Linked DNA regions of Drosophila melanogaster. The protein of the gene in region 4 interacts with the protein of the main gene of each other region in a pairwise test. Each region holds a gene or a part of one and is shown on either strand. Other genes may lie near its edges.

The links.
Region 1: the proteins of CG1142 (region 4) and CG8079 interact in a two-hybrid assay, tested with the Drosophila melanogaster proteins (one large-scale study listed by BioGRID).
Region 2: the proteins of CG1142 (region 4) and EndoU interact in a two-hybrid assay, tested with the Drosophila melanogaster proteins (one large-scale study listed by BioGRID).
Region 3: the proteins of CG1142 (region 4) and Hecw interact in a two-hybrid assay, tested with the Drosophila melanogaster proteins (one large-scale study listed by BioGRID).

Annotation. Positions count from the first base shown.
Region 1 is NT_033778.4:15,216,746-15,224,326, forward strand, and holds CG8079 (uncharacterized protein), read left to right. Parts: upstream 1-1,635; 5' UTR 1,636-1,718; coding exon 1,719-1,910; intron 1,911-1,967; coding exon 1,968-2,091; exon of another isoform or gene 2,092-2,154; coding exon of another isoform or gene 2,155-3,519; exon of another isoform or gene 3,520-3,584; intron 3,585-4,683; coding exon 4,684-4,820; intron 4,821-4,982; coding exon 4,983-5,078; intron 5,079-5,153; coding exon of another isoform or gene 5,154-5,298; coding exon 5,299-5,680; intron 5,681-5,751; coding exon 5,752-6,237; intron 6,238-6,296; coding exon 6,297-6,414; intron 6,415-6,475; coding exon 6,476-6,581; intron 6,582-6,638; coding exon 6,639-6,803; 3' UTR 6,804-7,070; downstream 7,071-7,581. Other genes in the region: CG11808 (uncharacterized protein), read left to right, coding at 1-133, 197-277; mRpL41 (mitochondrial ribosomal protein L41), read right to left, coding at 319-819; Hex-C (hexokinase C), read right to left, coding at 2,155-3,519; Fs (follistatin), read right to left, coding at 7,397-7,510, 7,577-7,581.
Region 2 is NT_033777.3:15,906,847-15,910,889, forward strand, and holds EndoU (endoribonuclease U-specific), read left to right. Parts: upstream 1-1,551; 5' UTR 1,552-1,746; coding exon 1,747-1,873; intron 1,874-1,932; coding exon 1,933-2,092; intron 2,093-2,238; coding exon 2,239-2,444; intron 2,445-2,501; coding exon 2,502-2,734; intron 2,735-2,797; coding exon 2,798-3,040; 3' UTR 3,041-3,521; downstream 3,522-4,043. Other genes in the region: CG45105 (uncharacterized protein), read right to left, coding at 3,641-4,043. UniProt on the Drosophila melanogaster protein: Endoribonuclease that cleaves single-stranded RNAs at uridylates and releases products that have 2'-3'-cyclic phosphate termini. Preferentially cleaves single stranded RNA at poly-U sites with CU, UC and AU sites cleaved less efficiently.
Region 3 is NC_004354.4:9,607,431-9,611,998, reverse strand, and holds the start of Hecw (hecw ubiquitin protein ligase), read right to left. Parts: upstream 3,054-4,568; 5' UTR 2,702-3,053; coding exon 2,308-2,701; intron 2,249-2,307; coding exon 1-2,248. Other genes in the region: LysRS (Lysyl-tRNA synthetase), read left to right, coding at 3,447-3,577, 3,707-4,370, 4,432-4,568.
Region 4 is NT_033777.3:7,471,929-7,475,309, forward strand, and holds CG1142 (uncharacterized protein), read right to left. Parts: upstream 1,854-3,381; 5' UTR 1,810-1,853; coding exon 1,333-1,809; intron 1,295-1,332; exon of another isoform or gene 979-1,294; intron 920-978; coding exon 551-919; 3' UTR 530-550; downstream 1-529.

The DNA.
Region 1 (7,581 bases), on a different chromosome or scaffold from region 4:
GTCATTTTTTAGCTCCAGGGATTCAAAGGAGACATCCGATAAGGTGATCATAGATCTGAACAATGAAACGGTCACAGTCGCCAGCAAGCCAGCCACTGCAGTCCGAAACGAAGATGTAATATTCCATCCGAACGTGAGTGGGTTACCTGGTGCTCGAATATACATGCTAATAGTATCTGATTTTCAATTCCGACAGTTCCTGGGCGACCCGGATATGAAGGCCGAGAAGTGGCTGCGCAAGCTGTACAATTACCGCCAAAAGTACATGCAGGAGTAGTCGAGTTTAGACTCTGTATTTAAGAAACAATAAACCTATGTCTAGAATATATCGCTGCCCGTCTTTCGAGCGCGTTGCAAGGCCTCCTCCGGAGTCAGTTGCTCATTGACCGAGGGCTCCTTGGCGCTGCCGTCCTTCTGCAGTTTTCCCGCCTTGAAATCTTCGATAATCTTCTGCGAGTAGACGGCGTTGAAGAGATCCAAGCTGGTGAACTCCGACTGGACGACGTCCGGCGCCTTATAGGACACGTATGGCTTTAGCTTACAACCGGTCAAATCGGGAACTATGATGTCCGGAATTTTCTCGGGAATCTCCACATACTGCCCGTCGACAAGTATGCCCGTGTCTCGTACACCTCGCTTGTGAATGGCTACCGGCGGATTGGCCAGTGTTTTCTGGGCTTCCTTTACCACGCGCGTACCGCGCTTGTTGTATGCGTTAAATTTACGGAAGTTCCGCTTGCCCTCCAGCACGGATGAAGTACTGATGGTCCTCTGCTGGCACCTTAGGGCAATGGGCACTACTTTAATACAATTATTCATTCTTATTTCGTTTTTCGGCGACCAAAATGGTTAAATAACAAATGTAGATGAGGGAACAGCTGTTTGGTTGGGTAGAGATGACACTTTTTTCGATAGACAATTAATCCCAGTTGGAAATGTATTGGAAGCCAATTTGCTATTAAACTACTTGTTTTTTTAAAAATACCGAAAAAGTTTTTTTTCTTTTAGGCCGTTGCCATATTTATTTTATCTTGATAAGAACTAAGTTGTTTTTTTTTTCAAAAACTAGGCATATTTTTTTTATGTGTAAAAGCAACCATCTCTTAATAAATCGATTAACTTTGCAGCCACCAGTGCTTAAAACGACTGTTAGTTGAAATGAAACTAGATGTTGGCGGATGTCGATGTTTTTGGCGAATAACATCGACGTTTTAAACATCGATGCTTTAAATAAAAATAATTGCTTTTTATTTTAATGTTGCTTAAATAAAACGTCAGTATTTGGTGTCCACCTTTTCATCCTCCGCTGGTCCAGTAATTGCTCCTATAAGACAAATGCACGTTTACATACATACATGTATATACATTTAGACGTGCATATGACATGCATTCATATGTGCAAGCCTTTTTCGGGTGTTAAAAACTTTCTTCTCAGATATTTTCCATGTCTATCACGACGCCACAATATGGTATTAATAATTGTATTAGAAGATATGGAAAATTAATTTGTACTTACAATTTATACGCTTTTCTCCTCAGATGCGATGTAGAGATGGAAAAACATCGATGATTCCTCGAAAACATCGATGAATGCGATTTTTTGAAAACATTGATGACATCCATGCTAGCATCGATGTTTCTCCATCTCTAGCTGAAACTCCCCAAATCGGCTTGTGATCCCTATAAAAAGTTGATTTAGATTCGACGGTTGTTAAACAATGTCGTTACCGGCTGAAGAGGAGGATTTGGCGGACACTGTCGCCAAGTACGATTCCATCGAATTGAAGAGCATACAGGACCTGGAAACCTGCGAGCAGCAACAACTACTGCAGTACGTCGAAAAGCTGCACGGGATTATCCGCAAATACGACACCAAACTGGCGTCCTATAAACAAAAACTCCTACACTACGTGAGTCCCAATTAAAGGTTGAGCTAAAATGGTCTTAATTTTTGATCTATTTTAAAGGTAAGCCGGGAAGAAAAGGTTTCGTGTGACAAAGCCAGCCAAGCAACTGAATCGGAATTACAAGAATGCCAGTATTCCATGGAAAACGATGAGGATACTAACAAAAAAGACCAGCCCAACGATTGTGAGTTAAAATTTGTTTTATTACACTGAGTCCTTCTATTATTGCTACAATAGTAGTGAGTTCCTACTTTGTTTTACTGGCCACCGCGGCCACCAGCGCAGCTCCACGTCCGGATCCGTCCTCCGAGAGCATGATGTCCCACTCCTTGTCTGCTTTCACCAGCTTTTGGAGTGTTTGCCTCATGTAGGCATCGAACTTTGGATGGTATCGGTAGACGGAGCCATCCATGCCGACTATCACGCGGCGGTTGGAAGTCCTGTTCACCAGCCCACTGACTCCGATGGCTACTAATGTAGCCGCTCGCTTAGCTACGCACTCGCAGATGTATCTCAGAGTCTGGCAGTCCTCCACGGAGGCCTTCTCTAGACCAAACAGATTTTTCACAATCTTCCTTGTGCTGGCAAACTCTGGGAAGGAGTCGTCCTCGATTTCCGAAATGTAGCGCGTCTCGAAAACCTCTTCGTTTCTCTGCAGCACGCTGGCGAATTCTGGACGTCGACTGCTCTGTTTAAAGATCAGCTTGCGCTCGAGGGCACGAAGTAGCACAAGGCGCACCAGGTTGCCCAAGTACATGCCCGCCGTCATCTTTTCGAACAGCTGCTCCGATCGGTTTAGAGACTTTTCGTCAACTTCGCGATCGTATTCGGTGCGCACAAAGTCCAACTGACCACCCTCACCAAAGGCGCCCCACTCAGCATTTACAATCACACTCCGCTTCGTTTTTTTAAAGTCTGCGCGCAATAGGTCCACATTCTCAACATCTTCAACGTAGCAGGCATTGCAGCCAGTTCCCACAATGACACCCACCCGGCAATCTGCATTACGATGGGCGCAGGACATCAAGGTGCCAGTGGTATCGTTGAGTATAGCCACCACGGCAATGTCGGCATCTCCGCGCCGCTGAATGGCCTCGTGCAGCATGCGGCCCACATCCTCGCCCTCAACCCCAGCACAATCGAATCCCTTAGTCCAGCGTACCAGGATGCCCTCCTTAAGGCCTAGTTGCACGCAAGGGAAGGAAAAAGTGAAGCCCAGTGGCAGATATGCGGTCTTCATGTCGTGTTTCTCCACAAATTTGGCCAGGCAGCCCGCAATGTGATCGAATAGGTCCACACCGGGCCCCACCATCAGGTCCTTTGGCACGGCATAGATCTGAGAATCCACCGTGGCGTCGTGGTGACCTTTCAGCGAGACGAGCAGTACTCGGAAGTTGGTACCGCCGAGATCCAGGGCCAGGTACTTGCCCATCTCGTCGCCCGTGGGCAGATCCTGCACGTACGTGGGAAAACACTTGACGTTGGCCTGTGGATGCGTGGACCGCTTAAGTCCACGGGCCACTTCCAGGCAAAAGCGACTGTACACTTCCTGCACCTGGTAATCACTCAACACAAAGGGTTGCATAAGTTCTCGCACCTCCGCGTCCAGCATTTTGCTTGGCTAATCTATCTGTCTTAGTTGTAACCGCCTCGAACGATGAGTAACGACTAACCAGGCGCCTGGCGAGCCCACGGCGATTTGGAGTTGCCCTGGGTGCCTGATAAGAGCCAGGCGTTGAGATGCAGTGCGCCTTGGAAACAACTGCTGCCGCTGCAATATGGGCGCTGCGTAGCAAATTAAAAACGAAAACACACCTAAGTAGCTGATTTGCGGATTCCGAATCTGAAACTACAACTGCGCGACATGCTAATCGCTCGTTGTCTCGTTTGCCGCTTGTCAATTGGTGGCAATAGCTTCAGATTCGGCACCCTACAAATTAATTGTAGATCGTCTTTAGCCGACTATTGGAAAGGAGGAAATATGTCACAATTAACTCTGCGAATAAATCCCGGATGGACACCGATCGCATGGCACAAGAATCCATTAAGAGATTACTATTAAAAAGTGTTTCAGTATCTACAAATAAGGTGTCCTCCGTTGTACTAAATTGTTGTATAACTTTTCGTAGAGTGCCATATTTCCGGAAAAAATGGCCAAGGCCGTATTTCACTTTTTTACTTTCTAAAAGCCATAAATTGTCACAGGGCGATATTAGCTGCAACACGCCTTCTTAGTTACGATGAGATAAGGCCGTTTCAAGGACCGCATCTTACAAGCGCAACCCACCCACTTGTCTATCTATTGAGGAGTATTGGCGGGGTCCTAGGTCGAGTACGTCAAACATTCCATGCCGGTAATGCCCGAGATAAGCACTGAAGTGTCGCATGGGCTAACGCCACTGCCCCTGACAAAAATCCGAGCAGCCCTTGACACTACTCTTAATAGAATTAATATGATTACGCAAAACTCAGGGGATTAGAAAAATAATTAGAATTCTTATACTAACACTTAAATAGCTACTTTATAGTTCGTCTAAATACATATAACTATAAACATTAATTTATGAATGTAAAGATAACTACAACCCATTTCCGACTATTTTTAAAGTTGAAATAAGGAAATGTTTTTCAAAACTGCTGATAACATTGCTCATTTTCGTGTCGTTCACCACAGGTTTCTGTTTTTATTTCTATATTGTCTTAAATATTTATAAAACCTTATCAATAACCATCAAAACATTACAAGTCATGTTTGGAAAATAATTTATATTTGCAGTATCGGCGACGGACGCCTTCAGTTTTGTGGACGAAATGAGGCAGGCAGCCAAGCACGCCGAAAACCTGAACAACTTCGTTTACGAGCACACCTCTGGCATGTACTACGATCCCAAGACGGGATACTACTATAACGCGGTAAATAAGCTATAAACAGCGGACGCAATCTTTATGACGTCCCGTTCTATTCCGCGATGCAGTGACTGCACCGCGATGACTTTCAGGGGTTATCGCGCTGGCAAACCTACATCAATGGCTCGGATTGTTGTTAATCTACACCTGCTTTTCTCTTCCTCGCAGGAGTACGGGCTGTACTACGATGGTAACAACGGCTGCTACTACAGCTATGATCACGCCAAAGACTCGTACGAGTTCCACTCTCAGGCCCAGGTACAGGTGAGTGGGTGTAGTTGCGGATTTCAATGCCATACGACCACATTAACCACTGTTCTTCTCCTCCTCGCTGCGCAGCCTTTGAGCGACTGCGCCTATAGTAGTCTTTTAGCGGGGTTTCACAAACTCCGCATAGACCGAATGCGTAGCAATGCATTAGGTAAGAGTCAAGGTCCAGAATGTGCGATAAAAACGCGGATTTCTTTTCTTAACTTGGTTGCAGGCGAACGATGCGGCCAAACCGGAATCGGAGGACGAGGATTTGGAGGTGCAGTTCGATGAGCTGGGAGGCGTCATTACGGACCACGAAACGCTGAAGAAGATTAAGGCCGAGAAGCAAAAGGCCAAAGATCAAGCTGAAAAATCCAAGCGCAAAGCCAAGAAAAAGAAGAGTAAAAAGCACAGCAAGAAGAGATCCAAGAAGGAGCGCCGTCACAAGTCCAAGAAGCGTCACAGGCATTCTGATGATGAGCGGTCTAATGATGCCGAGGAGGGCGAGCTGTCGCAAAGCAGCGACTCCAGTTCCGACTCTAGCAACGAGGATAGCAGCAGCAACACGGAAGACAGCAGTGTTCCAGTTTTCAAGGCTGCCGGACGCTTTCAAGGTGTTTAAGTTATCCGCGTTTTTATCGCGCTCTTCCCTGTTTGTTTAACTAACGCTTTCTTCTTTGCTTAGACATTGCTAAAAAGTATCCACCCTCCCTCCGCATCATTGTCCAGGAGACTAACGTAGAGTCGCTGAAAGTGGGAAGCCTGCATCTAATCACATACAAAGGTGGATCTCTTGGACGGGAGGGCGCTCACGATGTTATCATTCCGGACGTGAACGTCAGCAAGTGCCACTTAAAGTTTAAGTATGAGAACAAGTTGGGAATCTACCAATGTCTTGATCTGGGCTCCCGAAACGGTACCATTCTCAATGGATCCCCAATGTCCAGCGACGCCATGGATCTCGTTCACGGCAGTGTTATCACTCTGGGCCAAACAAGACTACTGTGTCATGTCCACGAGGGTAACAGTACCTGCGGTTTGTGCGAGCCGGGCCTTTTGATAGAGAATTCTCCGCCGGTAGTGGCCGCTGTTGCCTCATCCACCGCATCCGTATTATCTCACAAGGAGCAGTTAAAAAAACTGCAGCGCAAATATGGACTAGAAAACGAAAGTAAATACAAGACAACTTATACTCTCACTTTACTTTGACAATCCTTAATTCACTTTTAGAATTCGTTGATACTAGCGGCAATGGGCAGTCCAACTACAATGATCGTGCCGCAACAAGGAGAGTCCAGGTGGGCAGCAGTACAGATAAAGAAAAGACTGAGGTGGCTTGTGTGAACACGTGAGTATCAGCTTACACATCTTAACTTGAATTGGTTGACCAATGTGTTATTCGTTTTTAGTGAAATCGGTAGCTCTAATAAGGGTTTTAAAATGCTGAGTAAATTGGGCTGGCAAAAGGGCGAAAAACTGGGCAAAACAAATGCCAGTGCTGGACTTTTGGAGCCGGTAAGTGTTTTAGACTTATAAAGCTAGTCACTACTTCTAATACCAACCCGTTCGCAGATCAATGTGGTAGCCAATGAGGGCACTAGCGGTCTGGGAAACAGTGACCCAGTGCTGTCCAGCTCCAGAACCATTGACAAACGGAAGCTGGCCAACTTGAAGATCACTCAGGCGCGATATCAGCGCGCCAGTGATATGTTTGGACAATCGGATGATAGTGATTAGAAAGACATTTTGAATGATGTTGGAAACACATTTAATTAACAATTACTCAAACATATTTATAAGTGTATGTAAATATATATGTATGTATATACACATAGATTCTATGTATGTATATATTAATTCAAAAATCTTGCTATAAGGTTAAGCTATCAGTCAATTAATTAATTTAGCTTCGCTTATAAACAAAAAGAATAGGGGAAGGTAATGTTAAATAAATACGACTTCGCACACGTTGGTCTAAACTAATTGCGAGCCTAATGGGCATACAAACCGATCGTTTAAATTAATTATCGTGTAGCCTAATGTTAATGTTAAATACAAAAGCCTCTTAAGATATGTGGTTTCTCTTGCGATACATGCTGGATAAGATTTGCTGCAATACGTAATGTTGTAAGGTTGATAATACTTTGCCTGTATGTTAAGTGTATCGGATAATATGTAGTGTAAGCTCGGTAGGCTTGGGCAACAGCCGCAGGCCCATCCACCGATTACAACACGAAAACGCACAACGAGAATCTTTGGATGTTGGAGCTACGGAAGAACACGCTACATAAAGCCCTAGGCCGATGTGGTCGAGAGATGCATCCGATCTCCTAGCAGCTACCCTGGGACTTGACGCCGATGAAGTAGCGGGATTCGCAGGAGTGTTTGTGCATCTCACACCACGAGTTGTATGTCTGGTTGTTGTAGCCGCATATTTTGTGTACCTAATATTACAAAATTAATTCATAATAGGAAAGGAAATGTTTTATTTACAAAAAATCTGTACACACCGGTC
Region 2 (4,043 bases), 8.4 Mb from region 4:
AAAGCTGTCTAATAAACATTATTTCATATTTCTTGAAATTCATTTCGTGAATTCATTTCGTAAGATTTGGTAAATATTGTCTGAGACTGCTTGTCACAACATTAGAACTGAGCTAATCAATAAAACGCGCGCTCCGAATTTTGAAGCTTCGGAGTTTTAGGAGTCAGGAGATTAAAAGAAGCAGCAAAATCCAGTTTTCGGCTAGACTACAAGACATAATTACTTTAAGTATAAAGAACTAACCTTGATAATCAAATTTACCTATACCTAAGCTTAAAAAAGGCAAACATTGTATTCGAAAATATTAGATGATTGTAACAAAGCAAACAATTCGCTTCACTGTGAAGAATAAATCAAATGCTAATCCAAAACATAATGTATCAAATTACAATATTTGTAAAGCTCTCCTTTAGTACACTGAATTCTTCTACCAGGTGGATCCAATCCAAAAGCAAACTGAAAACAAATTACACCTTTCGTGACGAGCTATTTGTTTTCCCGTGCCTTGAATATATTGATATATTGATATATTGATCAAGGTTAATTTAAATATAGCATGATGGATATCTTGGTATTAGATTGTGAAAGTTAATGTGGTTTTCGTCATTCCATCTTTGGCGACAATGTATTTAATTGTATTTACGTTTTAAAGACTATTTTCAACTAATTGTAGGAACTGCAGTCCAGACAATATAAGAGTAAAATCTTGTTGATATTAAAAAAAAATCAAGCCCTAAGAAAATTTCGCACTGCAATTATAGGTGTTCAATTATACAATATTTTGTTCACAATTTATTGTCAATTTTTTTTTCAAATCACGTCACAGTTTCCTGTTGAAGTTTTTTTTGTTAAACACAGTATGGTTTAAGCCCAATTTGGAAGTAATTATATTACAGTCGAGACTTTAATACAAATGACGCTATATTCGCTGAAACAAACAAATTAGTAAGTGCGTGATTAAATTATTTGTTTAGTACTTCCAGATGAGAGATTCAAGACACGATGTTAGTAATTAAAAGAGACTTTGGATGAAATTCCTTAAGTACCAAAAATTAGTAGGCTTGCCACGTGCCATATGTTCCCACAAAAATATGAATTGAATTTTAAATATCTATAGATACTAGAAGTATTGTGGAAAAGAATAATTGGTTTCATTCATGCACGTTTAAAGACTGATTCAATTGTAAACCTTTTTATAAAATGAATTAAAATATAAATGATTATCCAAGGTAAAACAGAATATTAGTTTTTCAGTTACATTTTATTTATATTCGTTTGGCTTAGCTTTATTTCTTTAGGAAACTAATTGTTTTCCTACTTTGACTGGCCGCATAAATTATACCATATGCTGCACATTGTCATTTATGTCCTCAAACTTGAAATTTGGCATGGGGGCCCAACGAATCCGCTCCTGAGTAAACAAAAGGCTGCTCGCGAGGTGAAAACAAACCACAACAATGATCCCCCAGAGAGCGCCGAAAACGAAAATAATTGGAGAGGGAGAGCGTGTTATCCAATTTTTCGGGGGAACTACTTGTGTGTTCAGCAAGCATATGAGCGGCCAGATCCGCAGTGGGGCAAACCCGCTCAGTATCGTTTCAGCCATAAAGGTAGTTGGTCGGAAAGAGCAGATAAAACTCGATCAACGCGAGAGTTTTGGCTGAAGATAAACGGCGAGCATCGGGAAAGTAAACAGAGGCGCAAAAACAAATGTTTGACTAATCTTAATTGGATAATTATATCACAATGGACGCAGTGCAGCAGCAAACAAACAGCACTAGCAACATCGACAGCGCCAAATGCCAGAAGCTAAAGAGATTTGTGATCGTAGGCTTGCTGATCACCATTGGCATTTTGAGCTGGCACTTCTACGGTGAGTTGTCTCTTTAAGCTCTCTTCCGTAAGCGAACGGACAACGGTTTTTTCTCTTAGAGTACTTCCACAGCAAGCCGCTGCCCAAAACGCCGGATGACGTCTTGACCCTCTCGAAGAATCTGTACGCGGAGGAGACCGAGGTCAGTCCATACCTCTACAAGGTGAATCTCCAGGGGAAGACCACTTCAGGTGCTCATGACGATCGCGCCCCTAGAAAGTAAGTACCTAGTTGCGCCGCCTAATGAATTTTATCATTAAAATATTTAATTTGATGATAAGGCAATTTAATTAAAATAATTATTAATTCATTAAATACTAAAGCTGTCTAATAAACATTATTTCATATTTCTTGAAATCTTCCAGCCTCTTTGAATTGCACCAGGATCTGCTGGCCAGGGATGCTAACTCCACCACCGCTCTGCTAATGAGGCTCTTTGACAACTACGAGTTGGACGTGGCTGTGCAGGAGCATCCAACGCCGGAGCACGTCCAGGAGCAATATGATTTCCTTAGGGCCGTGATGGGTACGCGTGTGATGAAGCTGACCATGCGTTTTTTGGTACACAAGGGTGAGTAACCTTTAAATGAAATAAATCAGACTAGTATACCTATCCAATACCATCTAGATATTGTGAGCGTAGAATATGACGATCAGCTGCGTCTGCTGCAGGAGCTGTGGTTCACTCCCTACTCCAGAGGTCGTGGCATTGTGGGCAGTTCCAGTTTCGAGCACGTCTTCATGGCGGAGATTCGGGACCAGAAGGTCCTGGGCTTGCATAACTGGCTGTACTTTGCAGATCAGGAGCAACGTGGCAATGTGGACTACAAGGGCTGGCTGAACCACAAGGAAATGGGAAAGGTAAGGCTTAAAGACAAATGTAACAGATGATCCTTACAAAAGGGGATTGCTATATTTCCTCAGCACAACCAAATGGTTCTCAGCGTTCGCTACACGTTTCACAACATCAATAAGCCAGTCAACGGCTTCTTTGTGGGCATCTCGCCCGAACTGGACATGGCCCTGTACACCGCCTGCTTCCTGGCCACGGCGAAGGAGGAACCCTGCCACATCCAGTTGGGTCATGCCTCCGCCACGATTGTCTCCCACGAATGGAAATGGAACGGTATGCGCCTGATAGGAACCGTCTATCCGGACAGCTCCTAGATCACTCCAACCACCCATCTCGCAACCTCAGTCAAATTACTGACATTCGATTCGGTCGCACTGTTACCTCATCGAAATCAGCAAAAGGCTAACCTCCAAGCTCAAAGTCAAGTTCATTTTATTTTGCCACTTTATGAGTGCTTGGCCCAGTTGTCGCTGGCAATTGACGAGGATGTCAGTCAGGACATGAACAATGCCCATCTGCCTATCATTTTGGTTGTTTTGACAGGATTGCGTGGCGCAGAGCACTTACATCACGAAGTTGTTTATTAGTTCTAACATTAATAGTTATTACTGGCGGAAATTATGCAAGAGGCAAAAGCGTTTATTTTGAAGGAGCGAAAGGAGGAAAAGTGAGTGTGACGTTTTAGTATTATGCAGTCATTAAGCTCACCCTCGAAATGGATTCTACCCACTATAATTTTTATACCTTTGAATCTCTTGAACTAGCTAGTTGAAAATAAAATAACAAAATCAACTTATTTAAAATGGATTTATTAGTTATAAAACATGAATTTCCCTTCTTCGTTTAATTATGGAACACATGAGTAGAAGTACGTTGATTGAAGAAACTGTTGCTGGAGAACTCGGTGCTGACCCCTATTCATGGGCATCTAGATGGCGCTCGATGGTGACGGTCTCGTTGGCAATGTCCGCCTGCTGGACCACGGCCGGTGCACTCGACCTTCTGGCTGTGATGATGGTGGTCTGGGCCGGGGACAAGCTCTCCTCCCCCGAACCATTTTCAGCCAGGACCACAAAGGTCTCGCTGAGATCGGCCAATTCCGAGCAGGTTTCATCGTTGGACGAGCGCATCAGGCTGGGACTACTGATGGAGCACTCCAGCGTCAGGCGATCCTCGCAGTCGGGACTCCAGCTACTTTTTGCCGGCGGCTGACGCGGCAGGCTGTTGTGGCACAGCGGATTTTCCGCCGGCGACTGCTCCAGCCGCAGCTGCTGACCCCACAGCTCCACTGCCCGGGCGCGATTGTGGTCGGCCCGT
Region 3 (4,568 bases), on a different chromosome or scaffold from region 4:
GAGACCGATGATGCTGGACTGGCGTTAATATGCCCACTGGTGGCGGACAGGCAGTTGCCATCCACCAGATCCGGATAGTAGTAGCCCACACTGGACTGTTGCTGCGAATGCTGCTGGCGATGGCGTACCACACGAGGACACTCCACCGGCAGACGAGGATCCATGAATGAGGTGCGACGATGCTGGTGATCAATAAAGAACTGCTTGCCCGATTGATCCAGCTTGGTCTCCCAGCACGAGGGCAGTTCCCTGCTCATCTGGGCGAATGTGTTAACCAGCGCCACCAGATCCTTGTTGTACTGATACCGCTGGAAGCACGGCGGATCGCGTCGGATGCGCATGACCATGTGCTTTAGTGCGGCATTGCGATTGTAGATGGCCAGTGCAGCTTCGTTGGTGTGCAGTAGGGAGTAGAAATCCGGGCGGCAGAGCATCAGGATGGCTGGATGTATAGCCGTGGCGGGCGGAGGAGCAGCTGGAGCTGTGGAATTGGCATTACTATTCGCCGAGGTTGGCAGGTTGTAAAGCTGCGCAGCTCTACTCTCATTGGTAATGGTGCGTCGGATGCTTTGATACCGCCTATCCAGCTGCTGGCGATGATGTTGCTCTCTGCCTGCTGGTCCTCCACTTGGCGCCGCTCCTGGTCGTTGCCATGAGGTTGTTCGCGTTGTGTGATCGATGTAGAAGATGCGTCCGTGGCTGTCCATACGCGCCTCCCAAGCAGGCGGCAATGGTGGCTCTCCAGCGGCTCCAGCTCCACTAGACCCGGATACCGTACCCGTTCCGGGTTCCATGAGAGCGGCTCCAGCTGCTGCTGCCGCCGCCGCCGCTGCTGCGGCTGCACTGCGTTCTGGAATGGAGGGCAGGCGGGTGCTGCTTATGTGCACAACTTCGTCTGACTGCTCCTGACCCTGCTCCTGGCCACCATCTTGCAGATATATGTAATCCAATTGACTAGAGACGGCTGGCGGATCCGAGGGGATCGCTCCTCCGCTGGCGAGGCTGGAATTGGCAGTGACGGCTTGGAGGCGGGCATGCCGACGGGCATGGTGAGTAGGCGTTGGTGGACATACCAATGGCGAGCCGGTTGCGCCTCCCGTAGCACCAGCTCCTGCTCCACCGCCTACACGTTTGAGCAGCCGCTGCTGCGGTCGCTGACCATGGAATGTTGGAGTTCCGGGCGGCACCGCATCCTGCAGAGCACCACCCACTCCTCTGCCTCTGGTGGGCGAGTGCTGCTCTGGACTCAGGCTGATATCCAATGGAGAGGCACTGCGCGTGGAACAACCGGAAGGAGGACTTCGCGGACGTTTTGGTGAGAGCAGAAGGCGTGGGGAGGCTTGCTCCTCCGATGAACTGGCCTTGCCATTGGAAAGGGCACGGGTGAGCGGACGGTGCTGGCGCAGATACGGAAATTGCAGACTATTCGGCGACGAAGATGACGATCCAACTGCCGAGGAACTTGGAAAGGTGGGGAACTCATAGCTCTGGTGGACCGGCACCTTTTGTGTGCTAATTGTGTTGATGTAGCTATCGGGTCCAATCTTTTTCTTCAGCAGCGGCTTAAAGCGCACAGGCGGCGTGGCCAGGGGTGAATTATTCGAACTCCCACTGCCCTGTGCCATCTCCTCGGCCAGTCGCTCGTCCGTGTCCAGGATGTCGAACTGAAAGACATCGCCCTGAAGCTTCAGATCCCGACCAACGGCACGCGGCGGCCAAGATCGTTCCAGCGGACGATGCTGTGGTGGCGAGGGCTGGCGAAGATGCTGGTGATGCTGCTGCTGCTGACGGCGCTGCACATGGGCACTGGCCTGGAGGGCAGCAGCGGCTCCCAGAAGACTCTCCACGGCAGCCGCCTCCTCGTCCTCCTCCTCATCCACCTCCTCGTCCACTTCAGCCATGCTCAGAGTATCCACCATTTCAGCGGGCACTGTTTCGAAGCACTCACGTGCCACCCACAGATTAAAACCGTCGCCATTAGCATTGGACAGTGTTGTGGTTGGCGCACCCGTCTTGGTCTTCTTCTTGGCTCCGCTCAGGGGCGTGGAGCCACCGCTTTGCGGCGACAGGGTCCAGGACTTGCGGCGGGCGCCACCGCCCACACTGCTGCCGCCGTCGCTGCCAATGCTGCCATTGTAGGAGTTGGTCGGCGAGAGCGTGGCATTATTGGCCGGCGTCTCGCAAGATTTGGTGGAAAGCAGCGTCTGGTGGTGGCGCGGTTCCCTGGTCTCCTTTGAGCCTGTAAGAGCTTTAAGAGAACCAAGTGGATGAGTGGATGAACTCGCTCGTCAGTCTCAAGTTACTTACAGGCTTCGCTGGGCTGCGGCAGTGCGCAGGCCCCCAGCTGCTGCTGCTGCTCCTCCACCTCTGCCACCTCCTGATTTCTCGATGCCAAGGGCGGTTCATGTTCCTCCACTTCGCTGACACTCACATGGACATCGTTGGTCAGGGTAAGGGCACTCTGGAAGGCCTGTTCCAGCTCGTCACTTTCGTTGCCGTTGCGCGCCTCGTAGAAGGCCTCCTCTTCTTTGGGATCATCATCATCGTCCTCCTCTTCCTCCTCCTCCTCCTCGTCATCTCCTTCTGCCTGCTCCTCCTGCTGCAGTCTGACTGCAATGGGATCCACTGGACTCCTGTCCGCCAGGCAGGCGGAAGATGCTGCCAGTGGCTGTAGGGGTACCGGTGCAGCTGGTGGCTCCATTGGCTCGTTTGCCTCCTGGCCTCAAGATGTGCTCTTCCTCTTTCCCAGCACCCTTGCTCTTCCTCTTCCTGGTCCACAACCACCACTGCCACCCCGCCCCCGCGACCAACCCAGGGTTAACAGTTACAGTTACAGCTGCAGTTGCTCTACTTTGGCGTTCTGATGTTTGCTGCCTTCCGACCGGAGCATTTCGCGTCCTCCAGCCATTGAGTCCAGTTCTGGGCCGTGCTGTGCTGTGCTCACTGCCCGCAAGGCCGTGGCTTTAGTTGATCAATTGTTAATTTAAGGATATTGCAAAAGCTAAATAAAATATATATTTCGGGTCTAGTGCAATGTGACCAGATGTCAATGGCGTAAAAATGCCCTCGCGCCAGACTGGCCATCTGGTGCGGCAAAGCCAGTTGCATCGATTTATGCCCATCTGGCAGCGCTGGTCGTGTACTTTTTTTTTTTTACTTTTGTGGCGCTTTCGCATTCGCATTTCTTTTGGGTTTCCATCGCTTCTGAGACCCCGGGATTAAACAGCGAACAACGTAACCGCATCAGCATGGCCGCTGCAAGTGGAGAACTGTCCAAGAAGTAAGTGCCATAGGCTTCAAAGCGTATCCATTTGACCGCAAGCATTAAATCCGGTCAACGTAGCTGCCCCACTTGTAGGTTAGGGCGAAGCGGCAACGTTCCAGTTCGCATTATTTATGTTGCATGTGTGCAGTTCTGCTGATGAAATACGCTGCTTAAAATAACCATGTTCGCCCGCTGCGCCCTTAGAACCGTGCAGGGGTCATGGCCCCGATGCAGATACACCGGAATTCAGCCACTTGCCGCCGGTTTCCACGTGAGCGCTCCGCAAATGGAGCCAAGCAAGCAGACCAAACTGTGGGTTACTAATACGCACCGTTGGCCAGGCTGGATATATATATATATATATCCATGCGTGGTTATAACAGCCTTGTGGCAACATCTCCATTGTCTGCTAATACCCTAACTGTTTCTCTTCGTCCACAGTGAGCTAAAGCGTCGCCTGAAGGCCGAGCAAAAGGCCAAGGAGAAGGCTGAGAAGGCGGCCGCTGCGCCGGCGGAAAATACTGCTGGCAAGAAGAAGAGCAGTGCCGCCGAGGAGGAGGAGATCTCGCCGAATGAATACTTTAAGCTGCGCTCCGCCGCCGTTCAGGAGCTGAAACGTTCACCCGCAACGGATCCCTATCCACACAAGTTCCATGTGAGTAGCTCGCTGGAAGACTTCATTGCCAAGTACGAGAACAGCCTCAAGGAGGGCGAGACCCTGGAGAATGTCAAACTGAGCGTGGCTGGGCGCGTGCATGCCATACGCGAGTCGGGCGCCAAGCTCATTTTCTACGATCTGCGCGGCGAGGGCGTCAAGGTGCAGGTGATGGCCAGCGCTAAGTCCTACAAGTCGGAGGCGGATTTCGAAATCGATACGTCCAAATTGCGACGTGGTGATATCATCGGCGTTGTCGGACATCCCGGCAAAACCAAGAAGGGTGAACTGTCCGTTATGCCCAGCGAGATCAAGCTGCTATCGCCCTGTCTACACATGCTGCCCCATCTGCATTTCGGGTTGAAGGACAAGGAGACGCGCTACCGCCAGCGCTATCTTGATCTCATTCTCAACAACAATGTGCGAGAGAAATTCCAGATCCGTGCCAAGGTATGAATTGAACTAAGGAGTTTAAGCTGAATATAACAAAAACTACTCCCATTGCCCGCAGATCATCTCGTACGTGCGTCAGTTCCTGGATCGTCTGGGTTTCCTGGAGATCGAGACGCCCATGATGAACATGATCGCCGGTGGAGCCACTGCCAAGCCCTTCGTGACGCATCACAATGACCTCAAGATGGATCTGTT
Region 4 (3,381 bases):
TTACTTCTTGACCAGCTTTATATGAAATTTATCGATCTGTTCTTCTACTTTGAAATCATAAATTTAAGTTAAACGAAATTAAAACACAGTCATTAAAAAATATATATAAAAATTGTTATAAAAAATCTTTCTGTTCCCGCCCGGGTTCGAACCGGGGACCTTGTGCGTGTGAAGCACACGTGATAACCGCTACACTACGGAAACTAGATGGAAGACATGATTCAAAGATTGGTTATAAAATTAAAAAGAAACTTTCCTCGTTCACTTATAACAATTTAGAATAAAGTTATCAATTTAGTTTGTCAAAAATATTGTTAATACACACAATATAAAGAATCTTACTGAGGAATATGATTTTTAAATATTTGGCCAAAGGAAGAGAACATAAAATAAACTCCTCTATTTCGCAGAAAGGTACTAACCATACGGATCTTGCGATACTCCACGATCTCTGGAGTGACTACTTTCTGACTTGACTATTTACCCCATCATTATTTAAGTTCAAATAAAATATAGAGACGAGTAAGTTAGGTTTTAAAATATTTTATATTTATTTATTTTTCTTAAGTTTTTTCATTTTCTTCAAGTTTTTCCGATAGGCGTATTTGTCTGTGCGCTTAATAACCTCGTTGAACTTCCTCTTGTTGAACTTCTGGAAGCTCTCGTCTTCTAACAACTCATTTACCAGCGACTGCTTCTTCTTGGACTTCTTTTCTTGGTAGTGATCCAAATGCGAAGGTAGCACAGTACCGATTTGGAAAAATTTGGGCAGACTCTTAAGGTCGTTCTTCTTGTAGAATTGCTTAGGGTTCAGAACCGATCGCATCTGAACTATTTTCAGTTCGTTTCGCATCTCGTCGGTGATCTCTGTGGCGGGCAGATTAAACCATCCCTTGCCCTTGGTCTTTGAGCGTTCAGCCTGAAAAAAGGAAGGCGATTAAAAATAAAAGCAAGGTAGGGTCTGAAATTTCCAATATGTTGCGCTCAGATTACTAAAGACGTCGTCACCATGACAAACAGCTTAGACCTAACTGGCTCCTGGGTCGACAAAAGCGCGTGTTTCATTTCCATTTGGGTGTTCTGTAAACCAGAGACTAAACTATCTGTCTAGGACTCAATGACAGATAATAGTCTTGATCCCTGGCTGTTGGTGTCCCGCTGGCCTTACGGCCACTGCAAATTCTGGAGTGCAGCAGCAAAGATTACAACGGATGAAACTAGATTTGCTAGAGTCTGAGCCTTAGGTCTTGTCGCCAATGCGCAAACTCCGATGTCGAATATTTCATCATGGGCAAAAGGGCTGTTTGTACGAACAAATCGCTTCACACTCACTCTGTTGATGATGGGTTGCTGCCTCTTTCCCACGGTGGGCAGTGCATGCGCCTGTTCTAGTCCTGGATTCAAGGCCTGTTTCGTCCTCTTCATATTACTTTCCAGGTTTTCCTGCCGCAGGTCCAGATGCGGAGCATCGTGGTTCAGTTCTGTTACCCGCTTCCGGGGCACTACTTTCGGTTTGCTGGAGTTCTCCACTGCACTCTCGACCTTTTCGCAGAGGTCCTCCAGCTGCTTGGCAACCTTGGATACCGGCTTCTTTCGGTCAGGCAGGGAATTCACGACATCGAGCACTTCCTTGGAGTTCAACTTTAGGCCAAAGAGCTCCACTGCGCCCTCATTTTGTTCCTCGTCCTCCTCGCTGTGCGCGTCACTTTCTGTCAGGAGCAGCTCTTTGTTGTACACAATCTTCTTTTGCTGCTGCTCGCCATTGAATTCCTGGCGTCCTGTTGTGTCTACCAGAAAAATAGAATCCATTTTGTGCGGCAACCACGCTTGTTTATAACATACAAACAGTGTGACCGTGTAGTAGTAGCACACACACTCACAGGTCGACTGTCAAAAATATACTAAATGCACTGCATGTAATTTGGAAAATACTAGCTCTTGGCAAGGGCATTCCTGAACATTTATTACTTAAATTACTTTTAGTTTAAAAAAATTTGTGTTCTAATTTAATTTTTCTGACAAGTACATTTGATCTAAAGGTTTAAATTCAAAAATTCACAACCGACTTACAACCTAATGGAATACCCCCAATTTTTATTTTTTCTTTGTTAAGGTATAACAATTAGTTGCTTAAGCAATTTTGAACGTACAATTAAGTAAACCTCCACATAAAACATCAGTTCCGAGTGCGAGGACCGATAACTTCGTGCTTGGTGGACCTAATAGCTGAATACTGCCTAAATGTGCCAATGCTTCTAAATTGCTTGGTAATAGTCGTCATATTGCAATGCTCATGGAAAAGAGATTATTGAGTATAAGTAGAAATACATATTTAGTTTTTGGAAGGAAACTTTATTCATGAAATCGATATGCATTAAAAATCTCAAAACTTAAAAACTAGTAGAAATACTCTTCGAAATCCGTAATGCTACACATGCCCGTATATTAGTATCAAGATACCGTTTGCCTGTTACGAGCAAAAATGCATTTGGGGTTCTATTTTTGAGAGTTCTAGTTTCACTGTAAAAAAAGAAATTGTTACTTTCAAATAATAAGTTGTATAAATATGCATTTTAATAACAAAATAAATAATAAATAAATATTGGAACGTAGTTCGCTGCAGCAAAAGAATGGGCAAATTGCTCGGCAATGCCGCGTACATGGAAGTGTTCTGAACAGCAAATTTGTTACGAAAATCCGAAGCTAAGCTACTAAGTTACTTAACCAACAAATTTTGAAAGTGGCTGACTCGGGCAACTGTCGCCGGCTTCAGCACCGGACCGCCGCCCGTCCCCGCCCAATACGGCTTCCGGTCGAGACCAGAATCCGCGGGGTGGTGGGGGCGACGGATCGGGGGTGCATGACCGTGCGTCGACCGCCGGATAACCCGTCGTCATCCAGTGGAAGGCAGCGGAAAGCCGATCCGAACGAGGAGCCACGGCAACGCCAGGCAGAATTACTGGGAAACACAAAGGTGTGACGGAGGGTCGGCTCTGAACAGATCTGATAAGCAGATGCAGTTACCTGAATATCGATCAATGTACAGAACAATCACAGAATACACTTCCGAAGTAACGGGAAGCAGATATCGTATTTATACGAGTATTTGACCAAATAAGCACTTGGGAATTACAAGCTGGCAGTCGGGCAAACGTGCTGTATGGCAAACCAAATCGGGGTGGGTTTTGCCATTGCTTATGCATACCCGTGTATGAACGTTGCTTTAAAAGCCTGTGAAATCAAAAGTATAGTTTCTATGTAAGAAATTTAAATTGTTTCATAATGACTGAGAAATGCAGAATGGTAAAAAAATAACAATAGGAAGTATATATTCCTGAATTGCCCTCGGCTGGGCTCGAGCAAACGAAAGATTCTTCAAAG